Linked DNA regions of Struthio camelus. The protein of the gene in region 2 interacts with the protein of the main gene of each other region in a biochemical or structural test. Links are inferred from orthologs where the notes say so. Each region holds a gene or a part of one and is shown on either strand. Other genes may lie near its edges.

Region 1 (7,115 bases), on a different chromosome or scaffold from region 2:
ACCTAAGTACTAGACATCGTTAAAGAATGTAGTTCAATTGAAGATATACTTTCTTAAAAGAATTTTTGACTTGATTCCTACGAAATGCGATATAGTATCTCCCTCTTTAATTGTGACTCTACATGGCAAAAAAGTGCAAACCAAGCAGACAGCTGGAATGAAAACAAAGAGAATTTAGTGTGTAAGCTTCCTAATGCGTTACATTTTTATTTTTAAAAATATATACATAAAATAGAGACTGCCAAGTTTGTGAGAAACAGTCTGGACTCTAAGGACTGGATACAGATATAATGAATGACTTGTGCAATCCACAGAGAACTAGACGAAAAAAGCCATACAGAGATCTGCAAAAAGCAGACTAAGCTAAGGAGTACATTTTTGGATATTATGTAAATGAAAACACTAGCCAAAGAAAATGATGAACTTTCAATAGCTTCCAAACCAAGTAAACACTAAAGCTTACAGAGGCTGGTATATTTTGGTGGGTGAGCTGGAGGGGAATTTAACTTCTGGTTCGACCTACTAGCACCACCAGCAATTACAGAGTCCAAAAGTTCAAGTCAGTTTCCAAGTTGGAAAGTTGCTAGCTCATGTCCTCTTGATAACATTTATTAGAGAAATCAAGCTTATTGACATCTGTTTCACAATAAAATACACCAAAGCTGCCCTTGACTCTACCGTTAGATGACAAAAACCAAATTCAAAAATTCATCAGAGATGGAGAATAAATATCCATTACATTTCTAGATTTTTTTCCTTCTTGAAGTTACCCACTGGTTCTGGCAAAGCTTATGCATGCTATTCTTACCCCTGCTTTCGTTCTCAATACTAACGTAAGCAAAATTCACTTCAGATACTGGTCCGTTATTTGCAAGGACTTTTTCTCTTGTTGTTTAACAAAACCAAGAAATGAAATGGTATGCTGGCTAGAAACCCTTCAGTTTGTAGTTATTCTTTCATTTAGTACAAACAAAAACATAAAGGTTTTATTCACTGTAATAACTAGTGCAAACAACCATATCACTTACAAGTAAACTCTCCACCTAAATACTTGTTTTTACTTCTAGTTTTACTTCTAGTTGCTCTAGAATAGCCATGCCTGTGTAAAACTACAACTGCTCTGTCCTTGAGGCTACGAGGGTTACAGTTTTCAGGAGCTGCAAAGGCCCAGCTCTGGGCAGACTAGACTAGATAAGCCTGATTTTACACCTTGCTCACTTTGAATTTAATGATCTCAACCTCTCAGTCTGCAATGTCTTTCTGACCCTTGAAAGACATGCACAATGCCTGTAGACATAGATTTCTGCTAAACGTTTTTCCCAGAACACTTTTCTGATGCTTCCCCTTCTTTCCTGCTCTTATAGTCTCTGCTTTCTGGTTCTGTTTTAATTTTAGGTCCATTCTAATTTTTCCTTATCTGTTTTCCAAACACCTAATTCCTCTGCTGATTTTATTTTACTGACATTTCTCCAAACACTAGAAGCAAGCATGTAACATTGAATGTGGCTATCACAGGCAAACATTCATTTTTTGTGCCATCCGAGAACCGAGTCAGGTCGCCAATGAACGTTCATATTCATAGAAGTTGTGCTACAAATATTTTTTTTTTTTTTTAAAGTTCACAATAACTAATGAAATCTTTAAATCATTCCTCAGAGTTACACTTTAAGACTGAATTATTGGAACATGAGGGAGAATTAATTCACTTTTCTTGCAGTCCCCCTTAGAACCTGTTCTTGGCAACATTAACAGTGTGATGCAGGTGACTTTTTTTTAAGCTAGGTACTTTATTGATTACTGAGGTCACAGATAGTGTTTTCTCCTACAAGTCGAGAAACTATGTGCCTTCCATTGTCAAATAATATCTCCGCAGTTTATACGTACAGTGTACATACTCCAACTGTGATACAGAGCACTGGGTTATCTCAGAGATTCTAAGTACGTCATTAAGATTTACACAGCATAAAATGAATGCAATAACACTTTAAGCAATACCAAAACTTTAACATACAGAATGATATAAAAAGCCACAGTAGCACTAGAAAAATAGAAACAGAAATGCTGTAATAAAATTCCCCCAAAGCCTTAACAGAATCTGTATGAAACACTAAAACGACGAAGTACGAGTTACAAGGTGAACTGTGCAAGAAAAGCGTTGAGATGGGGAGGCGCGCTGATCTGCATAGGCGTCTAGCACAGCACTTGAACGCTCCGCATTTAATTTTGGCGCTAGAGCAAGGGCTTTCTACAGTTCCAGAACGATCAGCATTTCTGCACTGCCGTTAAAACGTGACGAGAAAAAAAAGAAGAAAAAGCAAAAAAAAAAAAAAAACCACAAGACCCTTACTGCGACACCGTTGTGCTAGAAAATCCAAAAACAAACTTTTGTGGGTAGGGGGTGTGGGGGGGAATAAAGCTCCTGCGAGTTTGGCGCGGCCCCCACCGGCGGGGAGCCCCGGCCGGGAGCCGCCTGCAGCCCGGTGCCTGGCTGCGGCCGGCACCTGCCGCTCCCGCCGCCTGGGAGCCGCGGCGAAGCCGGGCCGGCGCGGAGCCTCCCACCGGCGGCGCTGACAGGGCGGCGCGGCGCGGCCGGGACAGGGCGCGGTCTCCTCACCTGCGCGGGCCGCGGCGGCGGCCGGCGTCGCGCTCCCTCCCTCCCACCCGCCCGCCCGGCCCCCGGGAGCGGCCTCGGGCGGCCGCCGCGCCCGCTGCCCTCAGGCCTGCCCCGGCGCCGCGCCCCGCGGCGGCCTCCTCCCGCTCCCGCCGCGGCGCGGGTTCCCCCCTCTCACCCCCTCCTCCAGCTCCTCGTCCGAAGCCGCGTCCTCGGGCTGGTCCAGGTCGATGTCGAAGACGCCCGCCATGGCGCGGGTGTGAGCAGCGGCGCCGCCGCCCCTTCCTCGCTGTGCTGAGTGCGCGGGGCCTGGGCCGCCTCATGGGCCCGCACCCCCCAACTCTACCACGGCCGCCATCACCGGCTGCCAGGCCTCAGCGCGCCTGCGCCCCCGCCCCGACTCCCGGCGCCGCGCAGGCGCACTGCGTCACCCGGCATTGGTGAGGGGCCGCATTGAGCATGCTCAGTGGGCACCCCGCTGGGTGACAGCCCTCGGGGCCGGAGCGGAGCATGCGCAGCACGCGCTCCAACTCCCTTGAGCCTGGCACGGAGCGTGCGCAGAGGGCAAGAGGCGGCCTTTCGCTGCGAGCATGCGTACTGCGCTCCGTGAAGCCCGCCCGTCTGACCCTCGCCCCGACCTGCCCGAAGTTCCCTCTGAGCATGCGCGAAGCGGGTTGTTCGAAGGCGCGTGTCGGGCCGAAGCGGAGGGCTCGTGCAGGAAGGGGCTCGCGCATGCGCTGTCGGGCGCCCCCCCCCGAGCGCCTCAGCGGGGGGTGTCGAGGTCAGCCCTGAGGGGAGCTAGGGGCCGAGCGGGGCCGAGGGCGGCCGGCCCTGTCCGGGCCGGGGGGACCAGCACCCTGGGGAGGGCCGCTGTGCCCGCGGGCAGGCGCGGGCGGGCGGGGGTCGTCGAGGATGAAGCGGCTTTGGAAGGGGAGAGGTGGCGGCGCGAGGTGGGCAGCAGCGGCGACATGGCGGCCCCGGCCTGTGGCGTGAGGCGGCGGGCGGGCGCCCCCCGGGGCGCGGTGCCGACGCTGGGCGCGGGCGGCCGGGGAGCCGGGGCTGCCCTCCGGCCGCACCTGGAGCATTTTCGGAAGCTCGTGTACAGCTTTATTTATTTCCTGCCGCGAGGAGTAACTCTGATACGCGGCCTGGCTTTAAAGGGGGGAGGTGCGGACTAGCAGAAACGCTGAAATCCAGCATAGGAAGCAAAAACAAAAGCAAAAACAAAACCAAAAAACACATACCTGCCTACAAAGTGCGGCAGGATCGAATTACAGGAGCTGGTGGTTATCCCAAGAACGCCGTTACAGATGTGCTGTGGCACAGCTGGGACGATAATGACAAATAGCAGCCCAGAATAATGAAGTGAGTTCAAATATTGACCTTGTCTTTGTGGAAAAAGAAAAAAGTGAGAAACCAGAGTTACAGCAAAAAACTGAGTGGAAAAATGGCCAAGCATGCCAGTATCACTCTGGTTGGAGGAAGGAGTATGCTCTAGGGGACTCTTTTGTCACTTCAGCTGGTTTTGGCATCAGCTGGTTTGGCTTCAGCTGGTTTTGTCACTTCAGCTGGTTTTGGCATCAGGCCCCCAGCAGTAGGACTGGAAATCAGCTGGCTTTGCAAATGGGCTGCACATTTCTAAAGGCATCTAGTACTTTCTTAGTATAGTTATTATGTTCTTATAGCCTCATCCTCGGGCTTTGCTGGATTTCTAATGATTATTTTTTACTCTGCCTTACTAAGCGAAAGTGAGAAAATAGAGACTTAACTTTGTTTGCTGTATGGTTGATTTCAGTTCTGTTAAGATATATAGCAACAGTAAACAGACTGGCTTCCTCTAAATGGTCACCGAGATTCTTCTGACATTCAGGATGAAGTCTTACAGACAGCATTTCCCCAGGAACAAGCAGTTGTTGTAGCATAGCCTTTTCCTCCTCACTAGAGTTGGCAAAAGTTACAAAACTGATCTGAATTTTTTTTTTCCCAGAATAACTAAAAGGCATGCTTTTCCTTTTTAGGGTTAAATACAAAGTGAATAAGAATGTCAGTAGTCACAGTCCAGCTTGGTCAGTGTGGTAATCAAATTGGGCACGAGGTGTTTAATGCTATCTGCAGTGACGTCCATGGCACGCATGGATTGTGTTCCAAGAAGGAGAATGAATCATACCATGACGCTTGCAAAGAACGCTTTTTCAGTGAGGAGAAAGCTGGAGGTACAGCGTTTAAAGACTTTTGTTTCCCACAGAGGGTCTTGTTTCTAGCCTAGCATAGTTAAGAATACAGAAATAACATACACTTTTACTTTGGTTGAAGAATTTTGCCTTCATTCTTAAAGACTTGTCACAACCATCTGTCCTCATGAGGCCACTTACAAAGGCAAAACCACAGTGCAGTAAAGCACCTGAGGCCACAGAGCAAGTATGCCAATAACAGAGCTGGAAACTGAGCTACCTATACGTAAATCTTTCCTTCCAACCTCTCCTTTTTTCCAATTTATGTAGATAATAACATGGAGCATGGTCATATCAAATCCCAGTTCTGTGTTATGAAAGGGATAGTTTTTTTCATGAAAGGTCTCTGGAGTTCAGATCTCTTTGGAACAATAGGTGGTGCTCTAGAAACTTGGAATGTTGCCAAGTTCTGCTTTCCATACTTTTCTGTACTGTCCCATTGAAGTTGACAGTTCAGTTTATATGGGTGGGAGGAATACAGTTTGGGCCTTGGTACAAGCCTGTCTGTCTGTTTGTCTTATGTAAACAAATTCTAAGACTGGCATATTATTCTTAGTTTTATTTTTCTTCCTCTCCAGTACCTGTTGCCCGGGCTGTGCTTGTTGACATGGAACCCAAAGTAATCAGCCAAACCTTATCCATAGCTGCCAGGTCTGGCTACTGGAAATATGATGATCGATCACACTTCTGTCAGAAACAAGGGTCCGGGAACAACTGGGCAAATGGGTATGAACAATCATTTCAAGCTTTGCTAACATAACTGTGGAGGGTGATGAGCAGACTAGACGCTGTAGGAATGGTATTATTGCAGCTGTGCAAGTACAGAGTCTGTAACATTAGCTTGTTTTATTTTTACGACAGAGTAACAATATGTGTAATAGCAAAATTTCTGACTGCTTTTTGCAACGTGAAATTGGCATTCACAGTGAAGAATATTTTAAAACTGAGTGATGAATATTATTAAAAAAGAGAAAACAACAAGCACATTTTACAAACAGCTGTTTTTTTTACAACACAAATGTCACAGCTGAGGATTGTTTCTGACAGGTAGAATTGGTGACACAATAGTAGGTTATATAACTAATAAAAAGAAAAGCGTGCTTTATGAATAGGTTGATGTTATTGCTTTTATTTTAATAGAATCTGCCATGTCTTGCTGCCTTCTCTGTTATTCAACAGTTACTCTGTTCACGGGCCTAAACACAAAGATGTAATCATGAATCTGGTACAAAAAGAAGCAGAGAAATGTGACCGTCTCAGTGGATTTTTCACAATAATGAGCATGGCTGGTGGTACCGGATCCGGCCTGGGAGCATTTGTGACCCAGTGTTTAAGGGATGCTTTTCCAGCCTCGTTTATACTAAACCATGTTATCTGGCCATATGGAACTGGTGAGGTGAATGTCATATGTACCTTACATATTCTACAAAACTTTAATCATGATTACAAAAGAATAGCAATGTAAATAAATAAGACTCCTTACTAGAAGTAAAAACAAAATGTCAACTACTGAAAGAGACTAGAAAAGAGAAAAATTTTACTTTTTCTAAGTTCAACATGACAGAAGGCAATACAGCTAATGAATTGTTTGCCTAATAGCTAGTACAGGTGGTTTCACACAAGAAAAAAATATTTCAGAATTATTTATCAAAAGGTTATTGTTGTCAATAAAGGTTATCAAAATTATTATCTCAAGCTAATAATGATAAAAAAGTTTATACCTTAGCTCTTGTACTACTAGATCTTAATGGAGTATCTTCAGAAGCTCTGCTATCTAATTAGAAATGTTACATTGTGTGAAATGTTATGTAGTTATGATAGTGACCAGGTACTATAATCAGTTCCAAGAGAGACTTTCTTCTAGCATGTTTGGATGAACTGAGCCGGATCGTATGATTTTCACAAGTCTTGCTCTCTGTCCATGAGAAAGCTATGCTAGCTCCTAGCCTAAATTTGGTAAAGAAAATGAATCACTTCCTAAATCAGACCTACGGAAATGATAGTACCCAGAGGAATATAAACTAGAAAGAATAAGTTGTTTGACTCTCATGTGTGTGCGTGGTTTTCTGCTTCCAGGTCATTGTTCAAAACTACAACTCCGTTCTGACTCTGTCACATCTGTACCAGTCATCAGATGCCCTTCTTGTTCATGAAAACGATGTCATTCACAAGATTTGTGCTCAACTCATGAATATTAAACAGATCTCCTTCAGGGATGTAAATCAAGTCATTGCACACCAGCTGGGAAGTGTTTTCCAGCCCATTTACACAGC
Region 2 (7,863 bases):
TGTTACATCCCATCAAATGCTAAAGAGACATCCAACGCCAGATAGAAAAGTTAAATAAAATAAAATATATGAAAAACAACTATGAAAAGAAATGAAAAGAGATTGAATATTCTCAAGTTATCTTCCTGTCCTCTTTCAGATGTTTTATGTGTTTTCTATATATTCCTATGACCCCACTAAAAGCAGTTACACCAAATGGCAAGTTTGGACAAACAGTAATCGATAAAGCTGTCCAGACACACAGCGACATATCACCAGAACCACTAATCCTTATATAAAGGAAAGTTAACTTGAAACAAGTAACAACATTCATTTTAGACTTTCCAATAACATGTAGGATTACAAAAGCAGAAGAGCAAAACTGAAAATTTAAGATTTGTTTCTATTTTCTTCACTTACAAAAATAAGACTCTCAGTAACTTTGAGAATGAAATCAGTCAGAGTGTGACTTTGCCGTGCTCATTCATAGCAAATAACACACTCAAAGCACGGAGGAGTCTTAAAAGAAGAAATTACCACTCCATAGGAGTGAGGATGGTAGGAACTGGGCCGTGACAATTACTGTAACCATTGCTCTTGTCATTAAAATGATTCCCTTTGGCTGTAACATGCATGTGAAACACAGGCAGCAATCAAATACAGAGAAGACAGCTGATTAATACCTCTTTACTTATACTTTAACCTATTGATTATCTTGATCAGGTCAATATCATTCCTCATTTAGAAAGAGACAGCTTTGCAGATCAGGAAAGAAGTGAACAGGAAGTTTCACAGGAAGGCAGAGACCACTAAAATAGACAAGCAAGCTCATCACACCTCCACAGTCTACTAGAGACAGCATCTCTTCTTTGCCAAAACCCTTTAAAGAAGACATACCACAGAACTTTGTGTTCTGTGGCTCATTTAAATTAAATTCTACTCCAAAAATCTCATTCCATTCCATTAATGGTCTGCCAACCCAATTTTCCAGTAGATGATTCCACACAGCCAGACAATTTTGGCCCAGGTAGAGCTATGTGTTCCCAGCATTTCTGAGAATTATAACCATTTAGGTGAATACCCCTCTAGGAACATTTAGATTTGCATATAGCATTCTCATACCCAGCCATAGCGCCTCTGGAAAGAAAATGCAGGACAGAGTTTCACTGACTTCCCAAGTAAGGTCACAAAAGGGATCCCAAACATAATAGAAATTTAGTCCCTCCCTCCTCCCCCCCCCCCCGATCTTACAACCATGATTAGTATCATTTGGCTGAAACATGACTGAAATGTGCTGTAGAACCACTCTAAGCTACAGAAAATACTACTATTGGTGTCTCTTTAAAACTCATCTCTCTCAAATGTGTAAATTTGTTGCCTATTTTTTCATTTTAAACAATTACACAGCTACTTCTCATACTATCATCTCACTTACTCTGATCCCTGGCCCTTCCCATATAACAAATAGACATTTTTCAAAATTGCATAGCTAATATAAAATTGACATTGTCACTCTGGCCACTTTGCTTCATCGCGTCTACAACCCACTCTATCTTCTTCTTTTTTAGATAGCATTTAACACTGGAAAGGGACTACGCTCATCTTTAACATGCCTAGTGCAACAAAATCCCAATCTCAGCTGTTCTGTTGGCATTGTAAAACATGCATCATTAAAAAAATCAATTCAACTCTTAGAAAGATATGAAATATCAAAAAAGTATGTGGGAAGAATTATTAACAAAGAATGGCATCACAAACAGATTATCACCACACCAGGGAGCGTAAAAATAATCTACTTGGTTCTAGCTACGTGGTACCAGTGTATAAATACTTCCAGAAACACGTTTTGTGAACGTAGAGACGTTACTTCTTCAAAAAGTTTCAGTCACGCAAAAGATAAATTTGGAAACAGAGTAAGTATTCACACACACAGTCATATGCACACATATCTGGGCAGAACGCCTTTGAGACCTCAGGACTCCTGTAAGTCAAAGCAGATCCCAAGAACAGAGTGAGCAGAGCTGACTATCCAGGATGCTTTGTTTGTTTTTCATATAAGCAGAAAAGTTTAAGTGGGCACTGAGATGCAGCAGAGGATTCCAGATACCCTAGCAGGGATATTTGTCTGATGCACTTTATCAGTTTAACGTGCAACAGATGTTTAAAAACAAGAGAAGCACCTTGCTGTAACACAATGAGAACTTGATCTAATAAGTATTTTTGGCTCCCAAAAAGATCACGTGATCTCAGTTTCTTTCCCCTGCAAAGAATACCTTATTCATATATTCCACATAACACGTGGATGGCAAACTTCAAAACTCACAAAACTTCCATGCATCTTCACCACTAAACAACTACAATGATGACATTTATCACAACGTGCGTGCTTGCATCATTAGCCTGCTGATCCAGAGAGCTCCTTAAGACCTCATTAATTATCGTCTTTCTTGAAAAAACACATACATCCGAATTTTACTTGAAGTGCTTAAATAAAGGAGTTACTCAAAAGAGTAAACTACCATGAACTAACGATTAATATTTTTGATTTGTCATATGGCCGCAGGGGAAGTAAACATGCAGACAAGCACACAAACTCAGGGCTAGCTGGACTACAAGACCAGATACCCAGTGCTTCATCTGAAAATAGAGCGCAGCTGGAACTACAAAACCCCTCGGAGCTGCTATTCCTTCTTCTTCACTGCCTCCCCCGCCCCCACCACACACAGAACCCACCCTGCCCTTGAGCCTTACCCGGTCCTTCATCCTCCAGCTCTGAGCCAAAGACTTGGAGCCCTCGATCTTCTCACAGTGCCTCTTCTTCATAAAGGCCAAGGGCAAGTTCCAGTCCGTCAGGTCCGACTCGTCCTCCTCGCCAAGCCCCAGGAGAGGCGACTGCAGCATCTCAGACTCCATCGGGGGGGGAAGAGCCCGGCAACGAGCGCGCAGCGCGGGCCGGCCCGGCGCTCGCCGCGGCTCCTCTCCGGGCGCGCAGGCAGGGACGAGGCGGGAGGCAGCGGGCGCCCCGGCGCTCCTGCGGGCAGGCCGGCGGGCAGCAGCGCCGTCGGCGAGGCGGGCGGCGTCTCCCGGCCCCGCGGGGGGCGGCCCGGCCCGGGGCCTCCACCCGCGCCTCTAGCCCCGCGGGCCCTGCACTCTCCGCGGCGGGAGCCGCGCCCGGCCCATCGCGGCTCCCAGCGCCCGGGCGGGCGGGCGAGCGGGCGGACGACCGAGTAAGCGAGCTGCGACCTCGGGGCGGGCGTCAGGTGGGGAAAACGGGAGGGGGAAAAAACCGGGGCGGCTCGTCCTACGGCGCCGGGCAGCCGAACTCCTCTCACCAGCACAGCAAGGAGGCGGCCATCTTCCTCCGGCCCACAATGCACCGCGCTACGGGCCGCCGCGTGGGACAAGCCGGGCCGCCGCGCGCCGGCCCGCCCGCGGTTACCATGGTTACCAGCGCGGCCCGCCCCGGGCCTAGCGCGGGACGAGGCGGGAGGCTGCGGGCGGCCCTGTCCCTTCCGCCGCTGTCCGGGGCGCCCCGCCGGCCCTTCCCTCAGCCTGCGGCCGCAGGGGGCTGCCCGGCGCCTCGGAGTCGCCCATTTTAGCGGCCTCACCCAGCTGCCTTCTCCGCAGGGACTCCTCCACCCTGTGGCAGAGCCCCGGTGTCCTCCGGGGCTGTCGCTCCCTGGGGTGCCCTCTTCGCAGAAGAGGAGAATCCACTGAGCGCTTGTGGGGCCCTAAAAGCAAACGTCCCCAAAAAATCCACGCGGCTTATATCGCCAACGCCTGAGGCAGCGCAGAGCCTTTCGGACCGCCGTGCTGCCGCATTGTAGTCCTGATGGTCTTCATCGTAAAGAGAGTCACAAATAAATCCGTGATTTCCAGTTCTTGGCCCTCAGTAGCATTAACATGCTCCTGTTTGTTCCCAGTTTCCCCAAACACGCGCTCCTGCAGCGCAAGCCCAGCCACTAGTCTAATTTGCCGCGGCTCGGGCCTTGTTTCAGTTGTGTTGTCATTCATGCGGGGGCAAAAAAGCAGAGGGATAGTAAAAGGGGACAACATGCTTCAACAGAGTTACATCTAATATATGCTCGCTCTCTATATAAGGAAAAGCAAATGTATTATTTTAGGATTATATCCTCTTTACTATCAGATAAACTATTCAACACTGCAGGTTAATATCAAAAATTGCTCTTAATGGAGTTTCTCAGTGTTTGCTCTTAGCAGTAGACAAGTTGAACTGTATTCCTATTTACAATTTAAATGTGGATAAAAATTATTTCAAAGTATAAATCTAAGAATACGTGCACAATTTGATTTATAGACCCATATGAATTTTCGTTACCATTTTCGGTGTGTTCACATTCATGAAATACTTTAAATGCAAAGACTGTTCTCCACAATCGGCTGGAAAAGAACGTTTCTCGAAGGCTCTGGTCCTGGGGTCGCCAATGTTTTCTGTCGTTCATTTGATTTACAGACTGAACTGATTCACTGTTTCATGGATGTTTAACGTTGGTGGCTGATCATAACTACCTGATTGTTATTAAAATGAATGGCCATGGCATGGAAAGCGCTTATGGTTGCATTTCTGCTAACCTTTAATGGATTCATAATACCAGCGGCAGCTACACAAAATAGGACTAACAATCTCAACACATTACCTGAAAAATTACAGCTCGAGCACCCAGCACAACTAATCCACCCCAGCTGAAATGCCTGAACGAACAGATGGACCCCTGCGCTGTGCAGTGAAGGATGCTAATCCGAGATCCTGACAGAGCATTAGGGAGCATATCCTGGAGTCGGTGCCTATCCAGCGAGAACAGCCTGCTGTGCAGCCTCAGGAGCTGCCAGCGAAAATACCTTTGAAGGACACAGCTGCCAGAGAGCAGAGAGCACAAATCTGCCTCACTTCACATATGCAAAGCTTTTAAATGGTGATTATTTAAGATAAGAACCATGTGTTATCACAGTCCTCTAGGCTGAGTCCATGGCATCTGCCAGAACCATGTTCACCCACTCCCGGGTAGCTGCTCCCTGTGCAGACATGTCCTTCCCCTTTATTTCAGGGACTTCTCTGAAACGCTGTCCTGCTCATCTGAGGACCTCAGCGTTCCCAGGTCATTTATCCCTTCCTCTCCAGCATCTCTGCTCTGTTCCACATAATAGAGGCTCTATGGGGAAGGGGAAGGGAGGAGGAAGGGAAAGGGGAGAAGACTCCTCAGAATGGAGCTAAAGTGATTGCTTCGCTGTCTGGATAAGAACCAGACCGTGAGAACAGGCTGTCAGCAAACCTCCCGCACAGCTCTGTGAGCGCATCAGCTCTAACCTGCAATACCCCCATTATCCCAGACATACGCTCCCCAGGAGGACCTCAGTCTAGACCTGAGGCTCTCCACATCACTGTTCCAATTGCAGATCCACCCTGCTCTGCCTAATTACATCTTTTCTTATCTTTCCAGGCTGGGAATCCTCATGCTGCCTGCTTCTCAGTACCAAAGGCAGTATGAGATACATGGCAATGGCATCAGGACCCCCATTCCTTCCTGGGTCAGCCCTCTGGCCCCGGATTCTGGGCAAAATAACAAATTAAACCGATACATTATAAGATCATCTTGCCTTAGAATAATAAGGTGATAGAAGGTCCCTGCATGCAAGCAATTCTTTTTATACATATATATATATATGAATAGGTGCAGAATGCTGCCTTAGCAGCCCTTCACACTCACACTGTACTGGATCAAGCTGTATACAAATTTCCATGGAAGAATAAAAACAGTCATGCTCCTGGAGATACCTGTGGATACAGATCCACATAGCTGCAAACCTACTTAAGGCTATGTGAACCAGGCCTGTCCTCTGCTGCCCTGCCGCTTGCTCTCGGTGGCAGCAGAAAGCCTAGAGCCAGTTCCCACTTTCGTAACACGGTTTCCACACAGCAGCCTCTTTTCACAGTTTTCACAGCCGTATTCCTCTAGTCTTTGTGCAGTGATTCAGGATGGAGCCTTTGCTACCTCTGAGGATTTGGGTTGCATTGCTGGGGCACTGCAGAAGAGCCACATGAGGGGAACGTCAGAAAGGCCGGTTTCTTGAGAGCCAGAGGGACCTCGCAGGCTCCTCGGCACCTTCTTAAGGCTGCTATGCCATTTCTACATGTAATAAAACACCGTAAGTCTCTGCAGTGAGGAAATACTGCCTCTACAGACAGCAGCTCAGCCAGGAATGGGCTGGGATAGGACATCGTCAGTGTGCGTATCCACACCAGCTACACGGCAGCACGGCGCTGCCCCCCCGCAGTTACCACCCCTGGGCTGGGGGTGCCGCCAGCCCCAGCCGGCGGGGTGACGGGCTGCCTTCCCTGCCCTCGCACCCGGCCACAGGGAGGACCGTTCAAAACACCCATAACCTTAGCAAAGGGGATGCTATGGGACGGCTCAGATGACACAACCTATGCGCTAAGTACGCATTATTGTTTTTATGCATGATGAAAAGGGCATAACATTTACTTTCAGTAAATTTATGATTGGGAAAGTGTGAACTGACTGGAGCCAGTAAATAACAAATGAAAAAAATACATCTGCACTTTATCAGGTCTCTCACGAAGCCTCACAAATATCCTTTTCTAAAGGACATATGCTGCAGGTCAGCAGGGATCAGTCTCCATCTGAATTCCTAATTTTGCAAATTTTGACAGAAATCAGAATGAATTGATTTATTCAAATATAGCACTGCCAAGCACTTGGCCCTGATGGCATCTGTCCTCTGATAGTGAAAATCTTCAGGGTGGTGGTTGTGGGCTCTCTTCGATCATTTGCAGCTATATGCTTTAATCAAAGCTTATTTCATTTCCATTGGACAAGGACCAAAGGGAGCCATAAATAATCTTTCATTTATATCTCCATAAAAATTACTTGTTAGAAGTGATGCTTCCTTCATTTCACTCTATAGTCCAGTGTCAGGTCCTGGCTCCCTTCACCCCAAAGAAGGTTCTGCAGCTTTTACTCAGGAAAAGTATTTATCAACTTGGACAGACCACAGCAAGCCCCATGCCACTAGAGTATATAATTTAGGCTGCTCATGTGCTTCTCCAGCCAGTATATGCCTGAGCTTTGTTAATGTTCTTTTTATTTATTTATTTATAATGTTTAGTTCATATTTCTGCAGTATCACAGGCTCTTAAGACCTTCAGTGATAGAGACTACCTAACTTCTCTAGGCAATGTGCTCTGAACAGCTCATTTCCATCTTAAAATTAAAGTAGGTACTTCATTCCTGCCCTCAGTAGATGGAGAGAACAGTTTATTCTCTTTTCCTTTCACCTCTTTTATGTATATGAAAGCTGTTTTTAAGTCTTCTCGTGGTTACCCCTTCTCTAGACTCAACAATTCCACTTTTTTTAGCCTTTTTTTCCATATTACATTCCTAGACCTCGTATCCTGTTGCTCTTCTCTGGACTCTTTCCAGCTGATTCACACCTTTCCGGAGGCGCAGTTTCCCAGGCTGGGCTCTGCTCTCCAGGCGCAGCCTTACAAGCACTGGCTGGGGCAGAAGGACGGTTATGTGCCTTTCACTGACTACTTATTTATACATCCCAGTATGGTAGTTGCTCTTTTTGAAATAGGATAGTATTGTTGAGTCATGTTCAGCTCGTGATTCACAGTAATCCCCAGATCCTTTTTGCTGGAATTGCCATGTAGATGTTTTAACCTGTTCTCTGCTTTGTGCTGTTCCAAAGCCTGCATGTGGAACATTGCATTTCTCCATATGGAAATTAAATCAAATTTTTTACATATCTCCAGTTTGTCCAGACCATTCTGAATGCCAGTCCCAGCCCCTTACATGCTTAAGGCACACTCAGCTGGAATTGGAAAATCTAATAAGCATACTT
Region 3 (7,335 bases), on a different chromosome or scaffold from region 2:
GTGGTTGGGGGTCCCGGGGGCAGCCGGGGGTCCCAGGGGCGGTTGGGGGGCGGTTGGGGGTCCTGGGGGGCGGTTGGGGGGCGGCCAGGGGTCCCGGGGGCGGTTGGGGGGCAGTTGGGGGTCCCGGGGGCGGTTGGGGGGCGGCCAGGGGTCCCGGGGGCGGTTGGGGGGCAGTTGGGTGTCCCGGGGGCAGTTGGGGGGTGGTTGGGGGTCCCGGGGGCAGCCGGGGGTCCCAGGGGCGGTTGGGGGGCGGTTGGGGGTCCCGGGGGCAGTTGGGGGGTGGTTGGGGGTCCCGGGGGCGTTTGGGGGGCGGCTGGGGGTCCCGGGGGCAGTTGGGGGGTGGTTGGGGGTCCCGGGGGCAGCCGGGGGTCCCAGGGGCGGTTGGGGGGCGGTTGGGGGTCCTGGGGGGCAGTTGGGGGGTAGTTGGGGGTCCCGGGGGCGGTTGGGGGGCGGTTGGGGGTCCCGGGGGTGGTTGGGGGGCAGCTGGAGGTCCCGGGGGGCAGTTGGGGGGCAGTTGGGGGTCCTGGGGGCGGTTGGGGGGCGGCCGGGGGTCCCGGGGGCAGTTGGGGGGCGGTTGGGGGTCCCGGGGGTGGTTGGGGGGCGGTTGGGGGGCAGTTGGGGGTCCCGGGGGCGGTTGGGGGGCGGTTGGGGGTCCCGGGGGTGGTTGGGGGGCAGCTGGAGGTCCCGGGGGGCAGTTGGGGGGCAGTTGGGGGTCCTGGGGGCGGTTGGGGGGCGGCCGGGGGTCCCGGGGGCAGTTGGGGGGCGGCCGGGGGTCCCGGGGGCGGTTGGGGGGCGGTTGGGGGTCCCGGGGGTGGTTGGGGGGCGGTTGGGGGGCAGTTGGGGGTCCCGGGGGACGGTTGGGGGGCGGCCGGGGGGCGGTTGGGGGGCAGTTGGGGGTCCCGGGGGACGGTTGGGGGGCAGCCGGGGGTCCCGGGGGCGGTTGGGGGGCGGTTGGGGGGCAGTTGGGGGTCCCGGGGGACGGTTGGGGGGCAGCCGGGGGTCCCGGGGGCGGTTGGGGGGCGGCCGGGGGTCCCGGGGGACGGTTGGGGGGCAGCCGGGGGTCCCGGGGGCGGTTGGGGGGCGGCCGGGGGTCCCGGGGGCAGTTGGGGGGCAGTTGGGGGTCCCGGGGGCGGTTGGGGGGCAGCCGGGGGTCTCACCGTGGCGCCGGGGGGCTCCGGCGGCCGCTCCAGGGGCTCCCACTGCAGCGTCACCGCCCCGGGCTGCGCGCCCCACGCCAGCGCCCCCAGTGCGCACCAGTGCTCACCAGTGCCCACCAGTGCACACCAGCACCCACCAGTGCTCACCAGTGCCCACCAGCACCCACCAGTGCGCACCAGTGCCCACCAGTGCCCACCAGCACCCACCAGTGCACACCAGTGCCCACCAGTGCCCACCAGTGCTCACCAGTGCCCACCAGCACCCACCAGTGCCCACCAGTACGCACCAGTGCCCACCAGTGCCCACCAGCACCCACCAGTGCCCACCAGTGCCCACCAGTACGCACCAGTGCACACCAGTGCCCACCAGTACGCACCAGTGCACACCAGTGCCCACCAGCACCCACCAGTGCCCACCAGTGCTCACCAGTGCGCACCAGTACACACCAGTACCCACCAGCACCCACCAGTACCCACCAGCACCCACCAGTACGCACCAGCACCCACCAGTACTGACTAGCACACACCGGCGCCCACCAGCACCCACCAGCACCCACCCCACCGGGCCCCGCCCCAGATGGACCCCGCCCCACCAGGCCCCGCCCCCTCCTGATCCCACTCCATTTGCCCCGCCCCCATCTGGCCCCGCCCACAACAAGCCCCGCCCCACCAGGCTCCACCCCACCGGACCTCGCCCCACCAGGCCCCGCCCCCTCCTGGCCCCGCCCCTCCAGGCTCCCCCCACCAGGCTCCACCCCCTCCAGGCCCCGCCCCTCTGGGCCCCTCCCCCTCCAGGCCCCACCCCCAGGCCCCTCCCCCTCCAGGCCCCGCCCCCTCCAGGCCCCGCCCCCACGCACCCGCTGGAGGAGGCGCAGCACGCCGGGCACGAGCGCCTCGCGGGCCCAGGGCCGCCGCACACGCGTGTGCACGAACACGCCGCCCCGCTCGAAGGTCACCTGCCGGCGGGACACGCCCACCCTCACGCCCCCGCCAACGACACGCCAGCGACACGCCAACGACACGCGACGGGCACGGACACAGGATGGACACGGACACAGGATGGACACGGACACGGGACGGACACGGACACGGGACGGACACGGACACAGGACGCTGGGACCCGGACACGCCAGCGTCACGGGATGGACACGGACACGGGATGGACTCAGACATGAACATGGGACAGACACGGGACGGACACGGGACGGACACGGACACGGGATGGAGACAGGATGGACACGGACGTGGACACGGACACGGGACGGACACAGGATAGACACGGACACGGGACGGACCCGGACACGGGATAGATGCCGACACGGGACGGGCATAGACACGGGGCGCAGGGACCTGGACACGCCATCGTCATGGGATGGACACGGACACGGGATGAACACGGGAAGGACATAGACACAGGACGGACATGGGATGGACACGGACACGGGACGGACACGGACACGGGACGCTGGGACCCGGACACGCCAGCGTCACGGGACGGACACGGGATAGACTCAGACATGAACATGGGACGGACACGGGATGGACACGGGACGGACACGGACATGGGACAGACACGGGACAGACACAGACACGGACACGGGACAGACACGGGATAGATGCCGACATGGGATGGGCATGGACACGGGGCGCAGGGACCCGGACACGCCAGCGTCACGGGACGGACACGGACGCGGGATGGACTCAGATATGAACAGGGGACGGACACGGGACGGACACGGACAAGGGAAAGACACAAGATGGACACGGGACGGACACAGGACAGACACGGGACGGACACGGGACAGACACGGACACGGGACGGACACAGGACGGACACGGACACGGGACGGACACAAGATGGACATGGGACGGACACAGGATGGACATGGGATGGACACGGACACGGACACAGACACAGGACGGACACGGGACGGACACGGGACGGACACGGACACGGGACGGACACAGGACGGACACGGACACGGGACGGACACAAGATGGACATGGGACGGACACAGGATGGACACGGGATGGACACGGACACGGACACGGACACGGGACGGACACAAGATGGACACGGGATGGACATGGACATGGGACAGACACGGGACAGACACGGGACGGACACGGGATGGACATGGGATGGACACAGACACGGACACGGACACGGGACAGACACGGGACGGACACGGGATGGACATGGGATGGACACAGACACGGACACGGACACGGGACGGACACGGGACGGACACGGGATGGACATGGGATGGACACAGACACGGACACGGGACAGACACGGGACGGACACGGGATGGACACGGGACGGACACGGACACGGGACACGCACGGGATGGACATGGGATGGACACAGACACGGGATGGACATGGACACGGGACGGACACGGGACGGACACGGACACGGGACGGACACGGGACGGACATGGGACGGACACGGGACGGACACGGACACGGGACGGACATGGGACGGACATGGGACGGACACGGACACGGACACGGGATGGACACGGACACGGGACGGACACGGACACGGACACGGACACGGGACGGACATGGGACGGACACGGACACGGACACGGGATGGACACGGGACGGACACGGACATGGGACAGACACGGGATAGACTCAGACACGGACACGGCACGGACACGGACACGGGACGCTGGACCTGGACACGCCACCGTCACGGGAACACGGGACCTGGGGTCACAGGGGTCACAGGGGTCACGGTGGGGTCACAGGGGTCACGGCGGGGTCGAGGGAGGCCCGGGGGGAGGGGCGTCACGGGAGGGGTCACGGCGCGGTCACGGGGCCCCGCCCCCTCCGCGAGGCCCCGCCCCCTCCGCGAGGCCCCGCCCCCCCCCCCCCCCCCCGGCCCCCTCACCCGCTCCCCCTCCGCCGCCATCCTCCTGCCGGCCGCTTCCGCAAACAACCCTGACGTCACTTCCCCCGAGACTCCCCGCCCCTTCCGCCGGACGCGGCCCGGGGGGGGGGAGGAGGAGGGGGAGGAGCCGCGCGCTGACGTTGCCCCTGCGCGAGGTGGGCGCCGCCATGTTGGGGCGGAGCTGGGCGCCGCCATGTTGGAGCGGAGCTGGGCGCCGCCATGTTGCGTAGCCGGGCGGCGCCATGTTGGTAGGCGGGGCTCCAGCTCGGCTGCCCCGGTGGGGTGAGAGGTCAAAGGTCGCGGCGCGACGTCACCGCGGCCGCGCCGTGACCGGGGGGGCCGGCGCGGAGCGACACGGACCCGCGGGGAAGGTAACGGGAGGGGCCCCCTCCCCCTCCCCCCCCCCCGGGAGGGGGGCCCAGGCGTCCGGGCCCTTCCCCTCCCCCATGTCCTGAGAAGGGGGGGCCCCGGCGTCCGGGCATGAAGGGCCCAGGCGTCCCCTCACCCGAGGGGCCCAGGTGTCCGGGCATGAGGGGCCCAGGCGTCCGGGCATGAAGGGCCCAGGCATCCCCTCACCCGAGGGGCCCAGGCGTCCGGGCTATGAGGGGCCCAGGTGTTTGGGCACGAGGGGCCCAGGCGTCCCCTCACCCGAGGGGCCCCGGCGTCCGGGCATGAGGGGCCCAGGTGTTCGGGCACAAGGGGCCCAGGCGTCCCCTTACCCGAGGGGCCCCGACGTCCGGGCTATGAGGGGCTCAGGTGTTCGGGCACAAGGGGCCCAGGCGTCCCCTTACCCGAGGGGCCCCGGCGTCCGGGCATGAGGGGCCCCGGCGTCTCCTTACCTGAGGGACCCAGGCATCCGGGCATGAGGGGCCCAGGCGTCCCCTCACCCGAGGGGCCCTGGCATCCGGGCATGAGGGGCCCAGGCGTCCCCTCACCCGAGGGGCCCCGGCGTCCGGGCATGAGGGGCCCCGGCGTCCAGGCTATGAGGGGCCCAGGTGTCCAGGCACGAGGGGCCCAGGCGTCCGGGCACGAGGGGCCCAGGCGTCCCCTCACCCGAGGGGCCCCGGCGTCCGGGCTATGAGGGGCCCAGGTGTCCGGGCACGAGGGGCCCCGGCGTCCCCTCACCCGAGGGGCCCAGGCGTCCGGGCACGAGGAGCCCCGGCGTCCCCTCACCCGAGGGGCCCAGGCGTCCGGGCATGAGGGGCCCCGGCGTCCCCTCACCCGAGGGGCCCAGGTATCCGGGCATGAGGGGCGCAGGCGTCCGGGCCCTGAGGGGCCCCGGCGTCCGGGCATGAGGGGCCCCGGCATCCCCTCACCCGAGGGGCCCCAGCGTGCAGGCTATGAGGGGCCCAGGTGTCCGGGCATGAGGAGCCCCGGCGTCCCCTCACCCGAGGGGCCCAGGCATCCGGGCATGAGGGGCGCAGGCGTCCGGGCCCTGAGGGGCCCCGGCGTCCGGCCACGACAACTCCATGTCCCCTTCTGTTTAGGGACCCCGGCGTCCGGCCGCGAGGGACCCCGCCGCCCCGTCACCCGAGGGGACCCCGGCGTCCGGCCCTGAAGGACCCCGGCGTCCGGCCGCGAGGGACCCCGCCGCCCCGTCACCCGAGGGGACCCCGGCGTCCGGCCGGGCCGAGCGTTTCCCCCCAGCGCCGCCCCCCCCCCCGCCGCGGCGCCCCAGCTCGGTGGGCCAAGGGGGGGCCCCGGCGTCCGGGGCCATGGGCGAGCGGGAGGGCTGGGCGGCGCTGGTGGCGGCGGCCGAGCGCTTCCGGGGGGCGTCGGGGGCCGAGGTGGTGCTGCTGGCCGCCTGGGGGGCTCCGGGGGGCTTCGCCTACGCCCAGCACGGCGGGGGGCCCCTGGGCGACGCCGCCCGCCGCTACCTGCGCGACATCGCCGCCGCCCACCGCGCCGCCGCCGCCGCCGCCGCCGGCCCCCCCCCGCCGCCGATGACCCCCCCGGCCGCCGCCGGCGGGGGGACGACGACGACGACGACGACCCCCGCCGCCGCCGCCGCCGTGACGCCGGCCCCCCCCGCGCCGCCGTCGCCCGCCCCGGCCCCCCCCGGCCACCACGGTCGCCGCCGCGGCCGCCACCGCCGGCCCCCCCCGAGAGACGGGCGCCCGGGCGGCCCCCGGCCCCCAGCGACGCCGGCGGTGATTTTTTGGGGGGGGGAGGGTCTTGGAGGGATCCTTGGGGTGCTGGAGGGGTTCCTTGGGGTGTTGGGGGGGTCCCTGGGGTGCTGGGGGGGTGCTGGAGGAGTTCCTTGGGGTGTTGTGGGGGTCCCTGGGGTGCTGGGGGGGTGCTGGAGGAGTTCCTTGGGGTGTTGGGGGGGTCCCTGGGGTGCTGGGGGGGTGCTGGAGGGGTTCCTTGGGGTGTTGGGGGGGTCCCTGGGGTGCTGGGGGGGTGCTAGAGGGGTTCGTTGGGGTGTTGGGGGGGTCCCTGGGGTGCTGGGGGGGGTGCTAGAGGGGTTCCTTGGGGTGTTGGGGGTTCCCTGGGGTGCTGGGGGGTCCTGGAGGGGTTCTTTGGGGTGTTGGGGGGTCCCTGGGGTGCTGGAGGGATTCCTTGGGGTGTTGGGGGGGTCCCTGGGGTGCTGGGGGGGTCCTGGAGGGGTTCCTTGGGGTGTTGGGGGGTCCCTGGGGTGCTGGGGGGGTGCTGGAGGGGTTCTTTGGGGTGTTGGGGGGGTCCCTGGGGTGCTGGGGGGGTCCTGGAGGGGTTCTTTGGGGTGTTGGGGGTTCCCTGGGGTGCTGGGGGGGTCCTGGAGGGATTCCTTGGGGTGTTGGGGGGGGTCCCTGGGGTGCTGGGGGGGTCCTGGAGGGGTTCTTTGGGGTGTTGGGGGGGTCCCTGGGGTGCTGGGGGGGTCCTGGAGGGATTCCTTGGGGTGTTGGGGGGGTTCCCTGGGGTGCTGGGGGGTCCTGGAGGGGTTCTTTGGGGTGTTGGGGGGGTCCCTGGGGTGCTGGGGGGGTCCTGGAGGGGTTCTTTGGGGTGTTGGGGGGGTCCCTGGGGTGCTGGGGGGATTCCTTGGGGTGTTGGGGCGGGTCATGGGGTGCTGGGGGGTGCTGGAGGAGTTCGCTGGGGTGTTGTGGGGGTCCCTGGGGTGCTGGGGGGGTGCTAGAGGGGTTCGTTGGGGTGTTGGGGGGTCCTTGGGGTGCTGGGGGGTGCTGGAGGGGTTCATTGGGGTGTTGGGGGGGTCCCTGGGGTGGTAGTGGGGGTCCTGGAGGGGTTCGTTGGTGTCCTGGAGGGCTCCTTGGGGTGCTGGGGAGTCCTGGAGGGGTTCGTTGG

The links.
Region 1: of the proteins of RPTOR (region 2) and RPS6KB1, one has a biochemical effect on the other in vitro, tested with the Homo sapiens proteins (6 studies listed by BioGRID and IntAct, with this or other methods). The link is inferred for Struthio camelus from reciprocal best matches to the Homo sapiens genes RPTOR and RPS6KB1.
Region 3: the proteins of RPTOR (region 2) and AKT1S1 interact in a biophysical measurement, tested with the Homo sapiens proteins (2 studies listed by BioGRID and IntAct, with this or other methods). The link is inferred for Struthio camelus from reciprocal best matches to the Homo sapiens genes RPTOR and AKT1S1.

What each region holds. Positions count from the first base shown.
Region 1 is NC_090957.1:18,707,786-18,714,900, reverse strand, and holds the start of RPS6KB1 (ribosomal protein S6 kinase beta-1), read right to left. Parts: upstream 3,012-7,115; 5' UTR 2,862-3,011; coding exon 2,790-2,861; intron 1-2,789. Other genes in the region: TUBD1 (tubulin delta chain), read left to right, coding at 4,653-4,824, 5,421-5,568, 6,022-6,238, 6,919-7,115. UniProt on the Homo sapiens protein: Serine/threonine-protein kinase that acts downstream of mTOR signaling in response to growth factors and nutrients to promote cell proliferation, cell growth and cell cycle progression.
Region 2 is NC_090960.1:1,159,849-1,167,711, reverse strand, and holds the start of RPTOR (regulatory-associated protein of mTOR), read right to left. Parts: upstream 3,004-7,863; 5' UTR 2,893-3,003; coding exon 2,731-2,892; intron 1-2,730. UniProt on the Homo sapiens protein: Component of the mechanistic target of rapamycin complex 1 (mTORC1), an evolutionarily conserved central nutrient sensor that stimulates anabolic reactions and macromolecule biosynthesis to promote cellular biomass generation and growth.
Region 3 is NW_027182627.1:110,821-118,155, forward strand, and holds the start of AKT1S1 (proline-rich AKT1 substrate 1), read left to right. Parts: upstream 1-4,324; 5' UTR 4,325-4,430; intron 4,431-5,546; 5' UTR 5,547-5,774; coding exon 5,775-6,014; intron 6,015-6,121; coding exon 6,122-6,209; intron 6,210-7,335. Other genes in the region: TBC1 domain family member 17-like, read right to left, coding at 1,158-1,220, 2,015-2,113, 4,060-4,080. UniProt on the Homo sapiens protein: Negative regulator of the mechanistic target of rapamycin complex 1 (mTORC1), an evolutionarily conserved central nutrient sensor that stimulates anabolic reactions and macromolecule biosynthesis to promote cellular biomass generation and growth.